Linked DNA regions of Neurospora crassa OR74A. The protein of the gene in region 3 interacts with the protein of the main gene of each other region in a pairwise test. Links are inferred from orthologs where the notes say so. Each region holds a gene or a part of one and is shown on either strand. Other genes may lie near its edges. The genes, in order: cpc-3, NCU01318 and ck-1a.

The links.
Region 1: the proteins of ck-1a (region 3) and cpc-3 interact in binary tests that used the Saccharomyces cerevisiae proteins (3 or more experiments, as listed by UniProt). The link is inferred for Neurospora crassa OR74A from reciprocal best matches to the Saccharomyces cerevisiae genes HRR25 and GCN2.
Region 2: the proteins of ck-1a (region 3) and NCU01318 interact in binary tests that used the Saccharomyces cerevisiae proteins (3 or more experiments, as listed by UniProt). The link is inferred for Neurospora crassa OR74A from reciprocal best matches to the Saccharomyces cerevisiae genes HRR25 and SEC23.

Annotation. Positions count from the first base shown.
Region 1 is NC_026505.1:3,170,368-3,176,851, reverse strand, and holds the end of cpc-3 (cpc-3 protein), read right to left. Parts: coding exon 4,700-6,484; intron 4,643-4,699; coding exon 4,307-4,642; intron 4,258-4,306; coding exon 3,258-4,257; intron 3,200-3,257; coding exon 1,959-3,199; 3' UTR 1,815-1,958; downstream 1-1,814. Other genes in the region: NCU01188 (ubiquitin conjugating enzyme), read right to left, coding at 1-61. UniProt on the Saccharomyces cerevisiae protein: Metabolic-stress sensing protein kinase that phosphorylates the alpha subunit of eukaryotic translation initiation factor 2 (eIF-2-alpha/SUI2) on 'Ser-52' in response to low amino acid, carbon, or purine availability.
Region 2 is NC_026505.1:3,642,726-3,649,209, forward strand, and holds NCU01318 (protein transporter sec-23), read right to left. Parts: upstream 3,932-6,484; 5' UTR 3,615-3,931; intron 3,455-3,614; 5' UTR 3,252-3,454; coding exon 3,159-3,251; intron 3,093-3,158; coding exon 2,962-3,092; intron 2,906-2,961; coding exon 2,131-2,905; intron 2,069-2,130; coding exon 971-2,068; intron 907-970; coding exon 676-906; 3' UTR 505-675; downstream 1-504. Other genes in the region: NCU01317 (60S ribosomal protein L12), read right to left, coding at 1-27, 99-102; NCU01319 (hypothetical protein), read left to right, coding at 5,076-5,241, 5,306-5,386, 5,444-5,782, 5,856-6,484. UniProt on the Saccharomyces cerevisiae protein: Component of the coat protein complex II (COPII) which promotes the formation of transport vesicles from the endoplasmic reticulum (ER).
Region 3 is NC_026501.1:7,560,555-7,567,038, reverse strand, and holds the start of ck-1a (casein kinase I), read right to left. Parts: upstream 3,694-6,484; 5' UTR 3,578-3,693; intron 3,431-3,577; 5' UTR 3,263-3,430; intron 2,648-3,262; 5' UTR 2,602-2,647; coding exon 2,590-2,601; intron 2,499-2,589; coding exon 1,429-2,498; coding exon of another isoform or gene 1,425-1,428; exon of another isoform or gene 1,314-1,424; coding exon of another isoform or gene 1,304-1,313; exon of another isoform or gene 1,301-1,303; coding exon 1,228-1,300; 3' UTR 1-1,227. UniProt on the Saccharomyces cerevisiae protein: Protein kinase which phosphorylates serine and threonine residues. Can use casein as a substrate. Phosphorylates elongator complex member ELP1/IKI3 on 'Ser-1198' and 'Ser-1202' which promotes the tRNA modification function of the complex.

The DNA.
Region 1 (6,484 bases), on a different chromosome or scaffold from region 3:
GCGCCTTCATCTCACTCATCAGGCGCGTTGTAGCGCCCGACGCTGTTGTCCTGTACGACATGGCAAAATGTGGTTACGGAAGTGAAGGCGAGGTGCCGGTGGCGGAGGTTGACAAAAGAAAGAATGGGCTGCCGCTGGAAAAGCCCACTTTACTTCGTTGGTGGTGGCGGTGGTGGTGAAGTAGATATGTTGTGGTGGCTCGTCAAGGGATCGACACGTAAAGTGCTGACGAAGATCCCTCTCGTGCGCAAGATCGGGGGCCTCGAGAGGAAAATGGTGGTATTTGTAGTTTGAGGGGATGTTGGCAAGAGGCGGGCGGGTGTTTGGGGAAGATTGTTAGACGGTCGGTGGTGAAGGCCGGGGTGGGTATTGATCTTTTGAAGAGGGATGGAATGATAACGATAACCAAACAATGGGAACAGACTCTATGGAAGCACGGACGGTCGGGATAGAAGTTCACGGTTTGTCACGATGGTGGTCTTTGGGAAGTGGGTTGGAAATCAAGGGCTGGGCGGTGACAATCTGGAACAATAGAGAGGTTGCGAGTCAGGAGAAAGCAGGGTCAGACGGGAGGAAAAGTGGAAGGGCGTACGAACGTCACAACCGGATCAGGAAAAGGTGTGTGAACTACACTACTACGATGTGAGCGATGGAATCATGGCAGGGTCACGCTTCCCTTGGGTTCCTCGGAGCGAGGACCCGGATAGAAGGTTGGGCAGTCTCTAGCACGCACTCTCAACTTAACCTAAGTCTACACGAAGCAACCGACCCAGACCATTTGTGATGGTCCCGTCATTGCCCAACTTCCTTCTCCCATGGTGGTGCAGCAGCCGAGCTGAGCGAGGCACTGAGGAATCCTAACAACTGCATGTCTCGCCTTACGTTTGTTAATGGTGGTCAACACCGCTGCACAATGGCGGTCTCGGGCTCTCGGCATAGGTACCTACCTCTACATAAGACCAATACACCTGACAGGAGTATCGTCAAAGGAGGGAGGCCGTAATCCCCGCCCTTCCATATTATCGTATTGTAATTGCCCGTCAACCTTTACAAAGCAGGCGGAACCTCCCAGAACGGCCTTTTTTTTTTTTTTTTTCTCTGGCAAAGGGGGGGCCCATCAGACAATCATGTACAATCTACCCGCAAGGAGACGGGACGACACGACGGTGCAGTTCCTTTGCCACTGACAAATGAGCATCCCATGGTGATAGGGCATATTGGTGGTGGTCAGAATTGCAGTTATCGGATGTTTCAGAGGATGCACTAACAATTTCCCAAGTACACTAGATCCCGTCACGGTCCACTGAAGCTACAAAGAAGTGACGCAGTTCCATGTTGTCCTGTTGACTGCCCAGACAACAAATGATCGATGCCTTAAATCGAATCCACATTCGCATCTGTTTCCAAGCATCATATACCCGTCATTCACAACACTTTGCTGTAAATAAGAGTAGGTACAGGTAACGTGTTGCCCAACATGAGGGAAGAAGATGGATCGATTCGTTTGCATACTGGCAGCGGTTCCCATTTTCTCGTAAACCATGGATGGGAAACGTCCGTGCCAGGCAGTTAGAAGATCCGGTGGGTAACAGTAGGCAAGGACCTTGATGGTCAGTTCCTCCGCAATCGGTCTTCTTCCTGGCTTCTTGTGTGCGAACGAACTTCTTGTTGGCCAGCAGGGTGATCTTCCCGTAGTGAGATGGTTGGGCGTTTCACTTGTGACAGAAGGGTTAGGGTTCTGTATAGGAGGCTGACTCAGGTTGAGTTGGTGTTTCAGGGGATCACCATAGACGAAAAGCAAGAGGAACATCGGACGATTTGAAAGAGCAGTGATGCCTTCGGGTGGGATTACTAGCCTTACAACTGTATACCTATTATACACACATCCAACCCACCATCGCCAACGTATCCTACCCAGCTAGGCACCTCCCCAGGGCTTCAATACCCTGCCGACCCGATCAAGCCGACAAGTCGTAATAGATGCACCTCCCCGTCCTGAAATTATACACAAACGCGTGCTCCGATCCCTTCTTGGCCTCCCACTCCCACCTCCACCCCTTCAACATATCGTGAATCTCCTTGACATATTTCTTCTCGCTCGTGCCCACATTGTGTTCCACCCTGCGCCAGCTCTCCGCATCGCTCAGGCTCGTCCGCCGTATCATATCCATCACGCTATCCGAAGTCTCGATTGCGGCAATCGGCCCGTCCAGAAAGCTCTGCAACAGCTTCGCCGCACTCATCTGCGCCTGCTCCACCACCTGCCGGCGGTTGAACTTCTTGCTCTTTGTCTGCGCCACGAGCACGTGCACCTCCTGCTCGCGCTCGCCGTCCGCACCTAGGAACAACCCGCTGTTCAACTCCGAGTTGTTCGTGCCAAAGGACGAGAGACCGCCTCCGCCACCGCTGCCGCCGCCGCCGCGGAACTTGATGGCCGCTCCCGAAGATATACTGCCGCTGCCCGTGCCCCGCATGAGAGCGTCCCTATTCTCGCGCATCTCGGCCTTCAGCCAGTTGAGCAGCTCCTTGGCGGGGATATCGGCGTCGGGCGCGTCCTTGCGGGCCATGCTCTTGATCTTGAGCATGTTGTCCTGCTTGATGATGACGACCCACAAGTACGACTCGTCGCGGTACTTGGAGAGCAGGTCTTCGGGCGAGCGGGCGTCACGGGCCAGCTCGGCCGAGATGGAGTGCGCCCAAAGCGTCTGGACGAGCTCAATACCAGAGGAGCGGAGGACTTCCGGGTCGAAGGAAGCGACAAGGACGTCGCAGCGTTTGATGTTGAAGAGGCCTTGACTCTCTTCTTCGGCCGCCTTCTTGAGGAATGTTTTGCCGGTGGCCTTCGGGACGGGCTTGGCGAGCTGCTTCTCCCAGTTCAAGCTGAAGCCGACCGCATGGCGCTCTTCAAACCGGTTGCCGATCTTGGGACGATGTTCCTTAATCAAGCTGTCGTAGCGGCCACCGGCGGCGAAGACATCCTTGACCTTTTTGTCGTACAGGCAAGAAAAGAGGATGCCACCGCGGAAGAAGGCTTCGTTGATGCTGCTTAAAGGGGCAATGTAGATTTTGTTTTGTACTCCGAACCGCTTGGTATATTCGTACACTTCTTTGAGATGGGCCAATGTTGATGAAGCCTGTTGGTAGTATTCCGTTCCTTCGAAAAGAAGCTTGATCTTCGCGATGGCCTTGCTCGGGGTATCTAAAACAAGTGGTTAGTTGATGGCGTAAGTATGTTCGTGGTGTAAAGTCACACTTACCTCTGAAGTCAAATCTCTGCAGCTCGTCTACGCTGGTTGCCGATATACCCACCATGGGTGATCTAAGCTCTCCACGCACCTTTTGCCAAGTGAAATTGCGAATGTTGAGCTTACTGAGGACCTCAGCAGCAGCCCTGCGTGTGCCCACTTCCACGCCGCAGTACTCAAAGATAAGATTCAAGAGGTCCGAATGCCCCAGCTGGAAGCAGATGGGAGTAGACGACACAGTAGGGAACGCAGTCGCAATCTCATCCAGAACTTTGATGACCTCGGCCTCTTTCAAGGCAAGGTCTAAGGCGTCTGAAGTGACAATGTCAAAGTCGACTTCTCCGTACACATCAGGCTGACCACCGCCGTGACGATCACGGAATATGTTGCCAAAGGAGTATGACTTCTGAACAACGGGGCTGTTCGTGATCCTTGCGAGAGAGCGAGCATGGCCCATCATGAGATCGAAGGGCAACTGAAGAACCGTACCATTCTGGTCGAGGAGATGGACCGCGTTTTGGCCATAATGCGAAGAGCTGGGATACAGACAGACCGTAGGAGCCTCAACCGCACCGTGTCGCCGGAAGATGGATATCAAGGTGTCCTTGACGATGAACTGTCGCATGAGTTCTTGGGGTGATGGCCCAGATGAAGACATGTCCCAAGCGTAATCCTTTGCTTGTTCGATTGGCCTGGAGAATAAAGTTTCGAGCATCTTTTGGTAGTAAGGTGAGTTGGGATCCGACAATCCAGCAATCGCACGCCGTATCGCCTCGCTTTCCATCTGAATCGGAAGCTTGCCACTCTTCATAAGCTCTGAGCTCGAAGGGCGCTCTTTAGGGTTGTGAGTCAGCAGTGACAACAGGACCTCGAGATGGTTTTTATCCATATGTTTGAAGTCAGCGGGCAAAATGGGAGGGGATTGGCGCAGCTGCTCAAGGACCATGGCGCGCTGCATTCCAAGCATGGGAGGGTACGACATCTCGAAGAAAATCACGCCCAAGGAATACATCTAGGGATGATGTCAGTCTAGTCTTGCAAGGAGGATGGGAAAAACCTACATCCACCTTTGATGTATAAGAGCCGCTGCCACCCGTCCGGACCTCAGGGGCGACATAAACTGCTGTGCCAATGCTCCTGGTCATGTCGCTTGCATCCAAGCTTGCTGTTGACCTGTCTATCGCCAACTGTCCGCTAGTGGCCAGCCCAAAATCGCCGATCTTTACATTATCCAGGCCGTCAGGTCCAGAAGAGATGAAGATATTCTCGGGCTTGAGGTCACGGTGAACGATGTTGAGGCTGTGAATGTGGCAGAGCCCTTCTAGAATTTGGCGGAATAAGCGCCAGATCTCAGCTGTTTCCTTAGACAGATTCCGAGAAATCAAGTCGCGCAGTGTCTATAGAACTGTCAGTGTTGCCATTCGGATTTTGGTTTTGGCATAATGGGAACCTACCCGCTTCTCGCAATACTCCATGGAAATATACATCACGGTCTTGTATGGGCGAGCACTTCCCCGTCGAGGACGCCGTCCTGTGACACCAAGGTGGTTCTTGCCGCTTACAGTGGCAGCATCGTCATTTGAGTCATTGTCGGATTCATCCTCTTCATCGTCTTCATCTTCGTCGTCATCCTCTTCTTCACTCGAGCTGTAGTCGTACTCAATGCCCGGGTGCCCACTGGAGGACATGAAATCTAGACCTCTGCTTTTGCTCTCGGCAAATTCAATATTTATGCCGTGGGATATCGTGACCTGAGAGTTGTCTGTAACGTCTGTAGCGCCGCCTTCGGTTGAAGTATCGCCTTCTGTGTCCGCGTAGTCCGGCACCTCCTCCAGCCATGTATTGTAGTATCTGACAACAGCCGGATGGTTCATCTGGGAAAGCAGTCGGACTTCCTTTAGGATCTCTGAAAGTGTCTCTTGAGACCTTTGTGTGATTTTTTTGATGGCGTATAGGTGTCCGTCAATCATCTTGCGGGCTCGGACAACCTCTCCGAACCCTCCTTTTCCAAGACGAGCCTCTTCCACATAGTCCTGTCGGTATCTGGAAGACATGGGTCCGCGACTCATCGAGTCGTGCCTCATCCTCTGCGGGGTCATTTGCGGCATGGGCATCAGGGAACCCGGCACAGCAATGTCCTCGTCATCGATAATGGGCGCATTGGTAGCAAGGAATTCGCTTGAGCTCAACTCAAAAGCCCGCGGCCGCTTCTTGGGGTCGGACTTGAAGAACTTGGAGACCAGTTCTTCCAGCGGAGCCGACAAGGAAAGAGAATCCATCAGTGCGGAAGGCGAATGATACTTTTCGACAACATCCAAACCGAAGATCATCTGAAGAAAGACGATGCCAAAGTCCCAGACATCGGTCTTTTGAGTGTATTGAGGCTTCGTTACACCTGCAATTTCGGGCGGAAACCAGTATGCGGATTTGGCGGCTTTTGAGGATGTCAGCGTCTTTATCTTTGTACAGAGGTTGTGAAGCTCCCTCTGATAAAAAGAATCAGTGATTTTAGGCACTATATCCCCCGCCTCGTTTCTGTAGAGGAGAATGTTGGCTGGGTGAAGGTCTTGATGAATGATTCCGTTGTTGTGTAGGAATGCAAGTGCTTCCAGAAGGTCGGCCGTCCATATCTTTGCCTTGTTGGTGTCAATATGGCCCGCTAGATCGAGAAGCTCTTCAATGGGCCCCTTGGTGGCGAGGGGCGTCAGAATGCTGACGGTCCAGATGGTCGGCGCAGAAGAATCGGTGTCGCTGATGCCTCGATCGATCCTGAAGTCAAGGAAGGGAAGCAGATTCTGATGGCGAAGCTTTTTCAGTGTTTCCATCTGCGACTCTAGATACTGCAGCTGCTTCTTGAACTGAGCCGAATCCTTTCCGTGTGACTTGACTTCTACTTGCTTCAAGGCTAGGCTAGGGCGCACTGTTCTGGCGGACAGGACTGGTTTGACCTTGTAGACGGTGGTGATGGGACCTTCGCGAAAGACAGTTTTGCCAATGACGGTTTGGAAGAACAAGGCATTACCAGAGCCATCAGTGATCTTGCAGGGCTGATCAAACATGAGCGTCTCGTCAGTCTCGCCGGGATCTTGCGGAGCACGGTCAGGGGATAATTGATGGCTCCTGTTCTTCTTTCTGGATTCTTTTGCTTTATTTCGCTGGCGCTTGAGCTCTTCCTGGAGCATGTCTTCGAGGACTCTTTCTTCCTCCTTGCTCTCTTCGAGCTTCTTCCGTTCCTCTCG
Region 2 (6,484 bases), on a different chromosome or scaffold from region 3:
TCACCTCATTAGGATCAAACTTGGGAGCTGCAAATTGGGCATATTGTCAGTTTTGAGTACTCGGTCGATGACAGGCAAATAGTAGGGCCATAACTTACGCATGGTGACGGCTGGTGATTGTCAAGATGCACTTGGATGGTGTTCGTGGGAAGGAGGAGACCGTACCGAGGATCCAAGACAACAACGAAATCGAAAAAATCCCAATTGTGGGATCTGGACCTGCCTGCCCTAAGATTTTGGCAGTGTGTGGCTGGTGCTTTTGGCGGGGCACTAGCCACAAAATAACCGCTTTCAGCCACAACTCAATCTAGCCCGGTTCATGGTCCGTTACTTAGCGCTGTGCTGCAACCGCTACGTTCGCCTGCCAACACCTGCCAAACTAGGCAAAACAAACCCCCTGAGTCTGATGAAGACAGAAGGCCAAGGCCTCCAGTCTGCCGCCCAGAGGATCACAACGACATCCCATCAGTGGCAAAACTCCAAATGGACCTGGAGATCATCAAACACAGCACACTGGATTTATATTAATGATGTGATCTATTTGTGTGCTCGTATAAGTCCACATAAAACTAACGCTAGACAATTCCAAAAAGGTCGTCCGCCGTTTCCGGGGCTTGCATTTAACTTCATCACTCACTTCCAGCCTCTCACTCGGCCTGTCCACTGCCCTCACATTTAGTTGGTTCCACTCACGGCAAGCTTCATGAGATGCTCCATGAAGGTCTGGAGAGAAACATCGTCGGTGAAGATAGTCTGGGCGCTCTGAGCTCCAACACCGCCATAGGCGCCAGCACCTGATGTATGGGTAGTGGAAGGGTTAAGCTTAGAAAGCAGGAAACGAGCTTGGGAACCGCCCTGGTCGCAAACAATGAAACGAGGGAGAGGGAAACGGTCGGTAATAAGATCCTGTACACGGTCAGAAAAAAAGCCCCAACATAATTCGATCAGAGATGAACAGGAGACAACTTACCCTTGCATCTTCCTTGGGCTGCTCCAAAAGCGCAGCAAAGTTCTCGTATCCCTCTTGGTCTTGGTAGCCGGCCTTTCTCCATTCCGCAATCGTCTCACCATGGAAGATCAGAATGTGGAAGAAGGTATCGAGCAGGAGGATGTGGGTAGGCTGAATGGAGGTAGAGTCGAGCAGAACGGGGACACCGCCTTCTTGGTCGAAGGTGTAGGAGTCGAGCGTTGGTTGAATCATGATGAGCGAGTTACTAACATCCTCATGGTTGAGAACGTGCCGATAGAATGCGGTCTCATCGGGAGAGTTGTTAAAGACTTGCAAGAACTGACTCCTACGCAAGTGGAACATGAACTGTGGGTACAGCGTGAAGTTCTTTTCCAAGCGGAACGATGACGGGTCGTCCTTGCGGTAATCGGCAAATCTGGCGCAGAGCCTGATGAGCATGCGGTCAACCCACCGGAGCACATCAGGCCCATCGTCAACCTCCGCCTTGAAAACAGCGATACGCGACATAAGCACGGCTGCTGCCTCCTGGTCAAATGACTGCGCGATGGCCGGGTCTCCGGCGGGGCCGCTGAGGTTTCGGGCAATGGTGGTCACCCGAAGGTGGAAGTGGCCAGACGAGTGCTGGTAATAAGTCAAGAACTGCATCATTCCCTTTTGGGGACTCTGCATGTTCTGGGACGGGCCGCCTTGGTTGGCGATTTCGAAGTAGATACCGTAGCTGGAGCTGGGGTCGATACCGCACATCTTCCACGTGCAAGTGTTACCTATGCCGCACTCGGTTTCGCCGACGGACGTCGATTTTTTGTTGAGAGAGACTGCATGACCAATCAACCCAGTAACCTTGAGTTCCTTCGTTGTAAGTACTTCCAAAACCGCATTGAAGCCCATGAGCAGATTGTCATCCGCGTCCTTTTCGAAAATGCGGACGAATGACTGCTTGAACATGGATGAGGTGAAGCTGTCCGTCAGAATCATGTGGCCACCCGTCGAGTTGCACAGACCCTTCATTTCAAGTAGACCAACTTGATCAAGACAGCCGGCAAAAATGTCAATAGTGTGGCCGTTGTGCGCCGTTCGCTTAGCGAGGTTGTCGTAGAACTATAATAAATGTTAGCATGACACAGACTGTTTCCTGCACCACAACTTGAAGATGAACGTACCTTGAGTGCCTTCTTGTAATACTTGATGTTGTCACGGTCGATATCGTGATGGGAGCGGATCGGTTCCCTCAGCTCGGGGCCAACAACCATGCCAGGTCCCTCAGTGGCCGGACCACCAGCAAAGAGCATAATGCGACCACCGGCATTCTGGAACGACGTTTCGAGCAGGCCAACAGCTACGGACAACGCAACACCGGTGCAGCGCAAGGCTCTGAGGTTACCGGCAACAGGCCAGGGATCCTTCTGAAGCTGCTCAATGGCCTTGGTCAACTGGAACTCGGCCTGAGAGACCGGAAGCAAGAATCTTGAGGCAGGGCCGGCCGGGAAGGGCCTGCCAGGCTGTTGCATAGGCATGCCCGGACGCATGGCAGGTTGTACGAGCCCAAGCATCTCCTGGACCTGCTTGGCCGCGTACTCCTTGTTACCGCGGAAAACATATGATTTAGGGCACTCGGTATAGCCAATCTCGTGGACCTGGGCCATGGTGCCGTATGTAATCAGGCCGACAAGGGCGTGCTCGGGCAATAGGCTCAAGCTCATGATGAGCGACTCCTTGAGAGCAGCCAAGCTGTCCTCCTCCTGGCACGTATCGACGACATAGAGGAAGATCGGAGGGGCGGGGGCGGGCCGCGAGAGCCTGTACTCGATGGTAGTGTTGGAAGGGTGCAGCTCGGGTGGAATCGCATTTGCGGTGATGTCCTTGTAGTGTGGCGGGAGAGGATTCCTCGAGAGACAGAAGGGGCAGATCCACAGGCGGGCGCGCACATCGACTTGACTGGGCGAGGGTATCAGCAATGGGCGCGACAAGTCGGGGCGACGAAGATGGCTCACCAGTAGGGGTTTAACACGGAGCGGCAGGGCTGCTTGCAACTGACGGGGTCGAACTGCAGCAGAGGCGTGTCGGGCTTCTCCTTGAGAGGGGTATAAAGGGCGCCGATGGGGACGACGAGTCTCGAAGCTTCCTGAAGAAAGGGTCAGCGATAAAGGGGTGACGCGAAGTAGCAAGTATGCGAAAGAGCGGAACTGACCATGCGGGTGCTGGGGAAGACATTCCAGCTCAGACGAACGCCATCACGGTCCTCGACCTCGCCCCATTGCTCCTTGAGGGCTTCGTAATCCATGTTGATGTCGGCGGCGGCGTCCTCGGTCGATGGTCGCAGTCGGGGATAGAGAGGAACAGCTGGAGAGGGGTGATGGTGGTGTCGGCGGTTTGTTGGATTAGAAGATTAAGGGAATTAATGTGGATGATCCGTCGTCTACGCGGTGGTAGCTCCAGAGATAGGTACGGGGCGGGCGGCGGGCAACGGGCAACGTCGTCGGGCGGCTACGTGCAAGGTGTCATTAGCTCCGAGACCTGGAACGCACGAGACACTCGAGACATCCACCGTCCACCACACAGTCCACAGCAGCTGTCTTGCGGCAGGCGGGACCTGAGGCTAGATGTGGAAGCTAGGGGGAAAAGCGGGCTCCGTGCGAGTACATACCGCGGGGGGAGGCAATAAGGTATGGACGGGATCCCAGTTGTGGTGTGTCGCCAGGAAGATGCAACAACTGAACTGAAGAACCTCTTTTTCGACGCTCCTGAAAATTCAAGGTCCACTTTAAAGTGTTGACTGTCGTCCAGGAAGCCCTGCGCAAGATCACAGAGTTAACGACGCGCTGCTCTTCTGCAATCGGTCAAGTCGTTTGCGACAAGGTGATGGGATCAAAATGTTCAGAAATACCCCAATCGCTTCTACTGCAATGGAAGCCGACTGCAACAGGCGATAGTATCAATTTCTGATTTGCGGCTCTGTTGTCATTTGCTCCCCTCCAGTTGTTGAAAAGGACAGGTACCTCGTTCCCCTCCATCGAAAGGCAGGGGGCAGCTCTGCTGACAGACGACGGGAGGCTGCTTGCCAGCTGGTGCGTAGCCGACGAGCTGACGCCAATCACCACTTACCTCACCGTGCCACCGCGGCCGCCGTGGTAAACTGCATCTCCAAGCTGCAAGTTGCAACCTTTGTTCCGTCAGCACGAAATTGTCGGATGTACCAAGTGTTTTCCCGGTGCAGTGATGTTCCCGCGGCGTCGGATCATGAATGAAAAACAACATTGGCGAATCGCGACATCTCGACATGGAAATTGAATAGGTACCTATTCAGCATCGTATGCTTGCCCTCACCATCGACGCCTCGGGAGACGTCAAGCTTTGATTCCGTTACCCTTGGGCTCCAGTCATGATTCCGACCTGTGGCCGGCTGGCCGTTGAGTTTTGGCTAGCTCTGATTAGCCTGCTCGCATCTCTGTCCTAATGCTCGGTCTTGTGTCGATCCTACCACTCATGCCAGCATTTGGTGTTCTTCAAGAACCGTACCCTGCTCGCCCCATCCTGTTTCAGCCCACTGTGTCGAGCACGACCAAAATACCTTTTTGTGTTACCGTCGGGTTATCCTGAAGAATCCGCCTGTCGCGGGGGAACTCAATCAAACAACTCGCTCGCTCGCAGGCTCAGTCAGTCAAGCCAGCAGATGGTAAACTCGCGGCTGTGCTGCATCGCACAAACGCCCGCTCTCCGGTGATCACCCTCTCTGTTCTGAGCAGGCTCACTTTTACTTGTTACTCGACGAGTAGGGATCAGCCTTATCTCCTACTGTAGTGCTGACTTGATGCAACCCTTGGGTACGCTAAGATACGAAAGGGGCCGAGCAGCCGCCAGGTAGCAGTCAACAGGCACCATTGACAGTCCACGGTGATATTACCGTGGCTCACCTCTCCCGACCTCGTTTATAATTACAGTCGGATCCTATAGGATCATCACCTACCACCATGTCTCGATGGCGCTTCAGGGGAGCTAGCCCTTTTCGTGGGTAGAAAGCTGACACGCGTAGCATTTTGCTCAGAAATTTCTTCCTCCTCTCCCATTCTTCTCTTCTCTCTCTTGTTGCCCTCTGAAATCAGTCATCATGGTCAGGAGGTCGACTTCCCTTCTGTGCTGTGTAATACAGCCGTGGATTTGCCAGGCGGGTAGCACTATCACCCTACCCAAGGCAGATGAATCAATCATCCTTCCACGACAGGTTAACGGTGCTATCAGTCCCTCGACATTTCTGCGCAGAGGCTATCAATCGTGTGAGCATTGCCGTCATTGTCTTTTTCTCAGTGCATCATGACCATCTGGCTAATCGAACCAAAGCCGCGGTTTTAAACGGGCGCGTGTACATTGACGGCGGTGAGGTCTCGTACTACAGCGGTACTGACATCACCTTTCAATACTGTAAGACTCTCCACGCATTAACTCTTGAAACTATGGAATATCCTAACTCTTCCGTAGCGAACTCCCTGCTTTCTATCGATTTGTCCCAGGACTGGACAAGTGATTCAGTTCGGTTCGACTCAACATCCAAACCGCCCGGTGCCGCCAACCTCGCTGGCGGAGGGCTTTGGGTAGATGAGACGGATGGTGTCTTATACACGGGATTCGCCGGCACCAAGTCTAATTTTGGAGATAACGCCGATCAGCCTCAAGGCCTATGGTCATTCAAACCAGATGGCACAGGAGGCGGAACCTGGCAAAACCTGAACAACACTGCAGACAAGACGTTTACGGAACAGCCGAGACCATACAAAGGCAAAACAGCCAGTGGCAATGGTTTTGGCTACTTCCTCGGAGGTACGCAAGCTTACTATCAGCGGCCTTGGAGACTTCTTTGTAGGAGATCCGTGAAGCTGACCTCGATCAACAGGCTATGAGAGGTTCGGTACCAATGCGTCGGATCTCACCGAGGCACCGATGAGCAGCCTTCTTACGTACGACTTTGCATCGAAGAAGGTCACCAACGAAACCGTTAACCTTGCTTCCACACAGGGGTCGGAGCAATTTGGAAGCATGCTTTACGTTCCCAACTTTGGCAAAAAGGGCATCCTCGTTTCCGTGGGAGGTCTCATCGCGAAATTGAAGACAGACAACGACGACGACAAGCGCGTTTCCCTGGGCACAGCACGCATCTTCGACATTGACAGCAGAGCTTGGTTCGAACAAAGCACATCAGGCACTCCCCCCGCACCAAGGCAGGAATACTGTATGGCAGGAGTGGCATCGGACAACCAGACCTACGAGATTCTCATCTACGCCGGCTGGGGTGGTCATTTGGGCGGCGCATCCGTACCCTTCGACGATGCCTACGTGCTCACCCTGCCTGGGTTTTATTGGACCAAAGCGCCCTACACAGCGCGGAATCCCAGACACTCCCTCAGCTGCAACGCCGTCGGCGGTGGTCAAATTATAACAATCGGAGGCGTCGACACTACGAGAGAAGGGCCCATAACATTGTATAAGGGCGTTTTCACGACTACTGATCCATTCCCACAAGGC
Region 3 (6,484 bases):
GACACAACTTCGGCAACGGTCCAATTGGGCTAAGATATGAGACGTGTATTAGGAGAACTAGCTTGAATTTCATGTTGCCCGAGCTCTTTCCACGTGGTGTATACCAGTCATATCCGTCTTGTCTCCATGATGTCAGCCAAGTCCCCGAAATATCCCAAGGTCAAAGCTCTCCCACAAAAGCAGGCGGCTGAAAGGTGCCCTTCTCTATATGCGGTGCTCCTGATATTTCGATTTGGGTACGAGGTCGTGAACGCGTAACCATCGTGTCGATATGGAAAGCCACCGCGCCAGCAGATGCGTCCAGGAATCTTCGAGCATGAGCTAAGAGGCTATCTCTGCTTGTCCAACCCAGAACCTCCAGCCGATCGAACTTAGGACCTCGCCGTGTCACTGAGCAGTGGCCGCATTCACGAAATCTCCATCGTCTGGACGGAAACTTTGGCACATAGGCGCCATAGACCAATAACCACCCCGTGACCTGAACTCTGCTACATGATTCCAAGCTAATACCAACTGACCAACAATTGATGTATATGACTTTCGCAAAAAGGTGCAACGCTTCGTCCCCTAATGCCTCCCCACAAGCGAGACCCGATGCGAGAGAAATGACACACCAAAAGGAAATCGTGCATGATAGTAAACGAAAACAAAACAATGGGAAACGGGATGCCGACTGGGAAGATGCTTATTGTTATCTCGCAACGACATGACTCGAACGAGACTTTTGCCATAAATGGCCCGTCTTGATCAAGCCGTATCTCATGACCGCTGCTGCAATTCCGACGGCATTTTAAACCTCGGCCCATGGAAAGGCCAAGGTCTCCAACTTCAGCACCCCAGGAATCCGGGATACTGGGCATGCCGTTCGTAAGGTCTGCGGTCAAATAGGAGCAAGACAGATTCGACCAAGAGTCGAACTGCACTGCCGCCATAAACCGAAGATCCGTCCGAGCCATGAATAAGGGCAGTAACTGATAGAGATGCCGAAGAACGAAGAGAAGCAATCTGTCGCAAGTAATCCGTCTGGCTGTGTAGAGGAGATGCATCGGTCGATGGTGCTGGCCAGGTACAGCCATCCGCTTCCACTCCATCCAGACGCTCGAGGGACGTTGGATGACGAAAGGCGGGTGCAGGAATCAAACCATTTGACCAATGCGCAATCTGCTACTCCAACAACCCGCCGAAGATCTTGTTCCAAGTAGATACCATGTGCGAGCAACCGCAGTCTCATTCCATAGGACGATACCTGCCGGCCACATGTCCGGAGCCAGCGCCTTGACCTTTAGCAGCCGAGCGCAGCCTATTATCGCAAACTGAACGTCAGCCATCATGTCAGCATTCTACCTCCGGCCAGCGTTATTGAGTACACCAAACTCGAAGGAAACAAGATTCCTTACTAGGAATGCTGGGCTAGGCTGGCAAACTCACATCCTGTCGCTGCCACCGACGGCACGGCTGGTCTCAGGTGTCTCGCCGGTCATGGGCTTCCTGGATCCGCTCCTCAGGGCCTGCTGAGGGTCCTTACGAGCAGCAGCCTGGGCCGCCTCCTTGGAGTCCGCAGGCTGGGGCTGGCTGGAGTTGCCAGCAGCCTGCTGGATAGCCTGGGCGTTCTTCTGGTACTTGTAGACGGTCCAGTCAAAGACGTAGTCATACTGGAAACCTTCGCGGACGAACAAGTCACGGAAGATCTTGCGGAGATAGCTGTAATCAGGCTTGTCATCGAAGCGGAGGGAACGAGTGTAGTTGAGGTAGATGGCAAACTCGTTGGGGAAGCCGCGGCAAAGAACCTCGGTAGGAGTGGTCATCTTCTTCTCCATGATGCGGTCGTACTTCTGCTTCTTGGTGGCAGCCTTAAGGCCCTGCCACGGGAGGGAGCCGCGGCAAAAGTAAAGCATGACGTAGCCAAGGGACTCCATGTCGTCACGGCGAGACTGCTCGACGCCGAGATGCGTGTTGATGGAGGCATAACGGGCAGTGCCAGTAAGGTTCTTATTCTCTCTGTAAGGAATGTGGAAGTGAGTCTTGGGATCTCTGTACTTCTTGGCAAGACCAAAATCGATCACGTTGACCTGGTTGCCACGCTTGCCAATCCCCATAAGGAAGTTGTCAGGCTTGATGTCGCGGTGGATGAACGACTTGGCATGGATGTACTCGATGCGGGAGATGAGCTGATCAGCAAGCAGCAAGACAGTCTTCAGAGAGAACTTGCGGTTGCAGAAGTTGAACAGATCCTCCAAGCTGGGGCCAAGAAGGTCGAGGACCATGGCGTTGTAGTCACACTCAGTGCCGAACCAGCGGACAAAGGGGATACCAACGCCACCGGCGAGAGACTTGTAAACGCGGGCCTCGTACTCTAGTTGAGGGTGTTTGGCCTTCACGCTCTCCAGCTTGATGGCAATCTCTTCACCGGAGATGATGTTGGTGCCGAGGTAAATGTCACCGAAAGAACCAGAGCCGATCTTGCGACCGATCCGGTACTTGTTACCGACGCGGAGATCCTAGCCTTCCAGTTAGCAGGATGCAACCTTTGACGTTGGCAACCAAAGGCCTAGGAGGCCGTGGTGATTCGGAATTGACGGATAAGCGTACCATGGTAGTCATGTTTGCGGTTAATAGGGGAGAAAGACGAATCCCAGAAGATCAGTAACTATAGCCGATAGATGTCAGTAAAAGGGCCATCAAGGTACGCATACGCAACGATGTCGAACGCTGAGCTGTCGAGAAAGGCCAGTGTCGTCCCAGGTGTTCGGGTGGGAGTCCTTGCCCGGCTCGGTCACAATAGGTTGTTCGACTGCTCCATGAAGTGGCCCATGTGTCAATGGTGACGGCAACATTTCCAGAAACCTCTGCAAACACATCCACATCGTGCATCGCCCTGGAAGACGGAGCGTCTGGACGGCGTGACAACACTGTCCATCAGGGCTATGTCGACACGGACGTGTTCAACGATGGCCTGGGCGACGCTGCCATCCTTGGGGAGCATTGTAGTGATGCCATTCCCACCATCATGCCAAGAAGGGTGTCGAGGCTATTGAAAAGCCTATCAAGTCGGTGTCGTGACCGATGGCGACGGTGTGCATCCGGGCAAACAGCGGGCAAATGCGGCCAGCGCGGGCAGATTGGTTGGCGGACGGGCCAACAATCAGCTCACCGATACATGGCGGCAGCTGAGTGGAACCACCACAATGCGTGCAGCAACCTCCCTCGCTCGCTGGGAACGACAACCCGTCTGACGGAAATGATGATGGAAGTTTTAACTCACTCTTCGGCGGGATGTGTTCTCCTTTTGTAAACGGTCGTCGCAGACCGAATGCTGTGCTCAAGGGTCGTCGAGACCAGGATGGCAATGAATAATCGAGAGGGGCGTGCGTGCCGAAGAAGGCTGCTTAAGTGATGTTGGAGCGTCGGGGGCGATGAAATGCAGCTCAATCTGTACGGGTATGTGTTAAAATGCAGTCGAGACGAAGCGTGCAGCGGCAAGCTGATGGACGCGGGCTTGGTGTTGATGTATGGTGCAGCATGCGGGGGAAGAAAAAAAACAAGAGATTGTTTTGGTGGTTGGGGTAGGTTCTCTTACCGTCGTCGTCGCCGCCGGGAAATTTTAGGTCGTCGGTGGTGAGACGGGGGGCGAGGGAAAGGACGATGTGAAGAGGGAAACGAGACAGCGAGAAGGGAGGAGGAGGCAGTTTGGTGACTGGGACCGACTGGGACTTCTGGACAGCCGACCGACCTGGGGGACTGGGGACTGGCAGGATTTGAGACGGCAACGCCAAGTGCCAGCCAGGCTCGCCAGATCGACCAGGCCCAGCCAGCGCGCGCTCTTTTGGCTTGGTTCTTGGCGGCATCCAGCTGGCGAACTGACGGGAAGTGGAGGAGCCGTGATCCACCGCCGCCATCCACAGTGTCACAGTGCGGGCCAAGCAATAAGCCGGACACAGTGCCAAGGTGAGCGAGATGGCAAAAAATGACTGGAGCTCTCTCACTGCACCGTCGGACAGCGAGCCACCTCAGGCAAGGGCCAGGCGTCCCAGGCCTGCCAGCCCAGGGCATTGGAGGGCGGAGTTTCATGTGGCTTCTGGGCGCGCCCTTTTCTCTGGCAATGTCCAACTGTCATCCAAAGATCTCCGAATGCAGGCTTGCTTTTCAAACAAACAAAATCTGCTGATTTGCAGTTCCCCAACAGGCAAGGCAAGACGCCGGCAACACCTTACGACGGCAGGATAGGATGCAGGCGGCACTGCAGTGGACATTGCGTGGGCAAGGCAAACGTGCTGCGGTAAGGTAAGGTAACCGAAAGGCTTATACTTGATGATGCGGGCAGGACCGCACCGTACCTCTACCTCTACATACCTCTATTTACGAGGGAAGGCATGATACACCGCGCCTCCCATATTACGCCCTGTGAATGTGGAAGAGGTCGGAATGAAGGCTCAGCGTTTTGTTAGGCAGAAACTGGACGGGGCCCAATAGCCAATCCAGTGCCAAAGTGCCTGCCTGCTTTCAGTTCGTTCTCTTGCTGTACGCAGTACTATTGAGAGTCTGTGCTGTATCATATTAGCTTGGTTGGCTCCCGGTCCCAAAATTAATACTAAATCTGACTGGTATACGTTACAACAGCAATTGCGACAAATACGACATCCATAACCCATCCGATATCAGCTTCGAAGAGAATTGAACGGCACTTTGATCAAGTCAGGTGCCTTCTCTGACTACTTTAGAACACTACGCAGTACACATTCTGTGACCAATGTCCCGCTTCTTCCCCGTTCACAACTGCATCATTGTGATGTTTCACTATGGAGACTATACGACAGACGGAATGCAGGAGCCCTCTTTCAAAAGATCAGACGAAGGGACCAAAACACAAGCAAGGCGCATCGTTCAACCATGGCGGGATTGACAGCTCGGTGTAGTGTACATTCTGCGTACGACAGGGCTCTGTACCATAATCACACAGACAGTCGTTTGCAAAAGCGATCAACATTCCCCACCCCGTGGGACAAAACCTCTGCGACTGGCGTCCCGACAGCTTGGAACATACCGAACAAAAGCGCCCTTCCTGTCATCTCCTCTCATAGCTTCCTCACAAGGCCCCAAGAGTTCCGTGCTAGATATGCAAAGAACCTACGTCAAGTGGTTGGCGGCAGCCACGGGAGAGCCTATCAAAGCGGTCACGACAAGCCATATTGTTTGACGGGCGCTTGCGCAGTAGTGTACACAAAAGCCGTCCACAGAGCCTGCAGAGAACAGCTACACCGAGAACTGTCAATATAAGATCTCAAAAACCGCTGCCGAAGATCACGGGTCTAGTGGACCTCTTCAAAAGAGCGCACTGTGTCGTATATCTGGAGGACGTTAGGCGCGGCTGAGAGGCCAAGCCCTCCATGTCAGCGTCTCACTGCTCTTGCAAGTACACTCGCTACTATCCTCGCTGCGACAACCAGCAACCTCCGTCCGACCCCCTCAGTCCATCATTCAATAGTTTGTTCTTCGAATTGCCAATGGATGGAATACATAGAGGTACATTCAGAATCGGCAGAGCATTCAGTCCTCACAGGGAAAGGGCTACACATATCCTTCCATTGCTCATGTTCGGTCTGCCGTGCTAGGGGTACCTGGTCGTCTCCAAGACAGTGCCCGGAATTTCAATCCCCCTGGCCTTGCAGATACTACCGACGTGTATCTTCCAACTACACTACACGTACAAGGCGGTGTCGGAGAAAATCCTGTTCAATCAACCGGCGCTACCTGCATCTTCATAATTCGCAGCCTTGGAAACATGACCAGCTTAGGAACTCTCTATCTGAGGCTGTCAGAAGCTATCAAAAGAACCTCATCTCAAACCTTTCCATGGGCCGACAACGAAGTCACAGAATGCACCCGAGGCATAACGGAGCCAGCCTTAGGTCCGCCGGTGGTTCGCCTCCGCTTTGCTGCCCAAAACGCGACCCAAGGGGCAGACAAGGGTGGCACTGATTTCCCGTGGCTCGATCTTTGGAAGCGGCAAACACATGCCATGATCCCTGCGCATAGCAATGCCCAGATTACCAAAGCGTTTGTATCAGACGACATGCCAGTTGGAGGGGCATTGACACTAGAACTGTTTTTTTTCTTCTTTTTTTTTTTTTCCCCCAAATATCCTGAACCAGCTTCGTCAGTTTGGCTACACCGCCCTGACCGCCAACTGCAACACAGTAATCCATTACCGACCCTTACCCATGCCTGCCATGCTCTCCAAGCTGTTAAAATCGGTAGTATACGGACGGGAACGGAAACGGGCAACAGACAAAGGAAGAACATGCGCCCGATTCTAGAAGCACAAGGCGGCTTGTCTGCAGATAAGGTGAATGGTAGCACCAATTCAAATCTTTCACCGACACCTTCTGGATCCTCTTTTGTTTTGGTATGAAAAACTACTTCCCAACGGTTCGTGTGTCGCCAGATGGGCCAGAATCTCTAAAATTTCGGAGATCGCCAGTTCCAG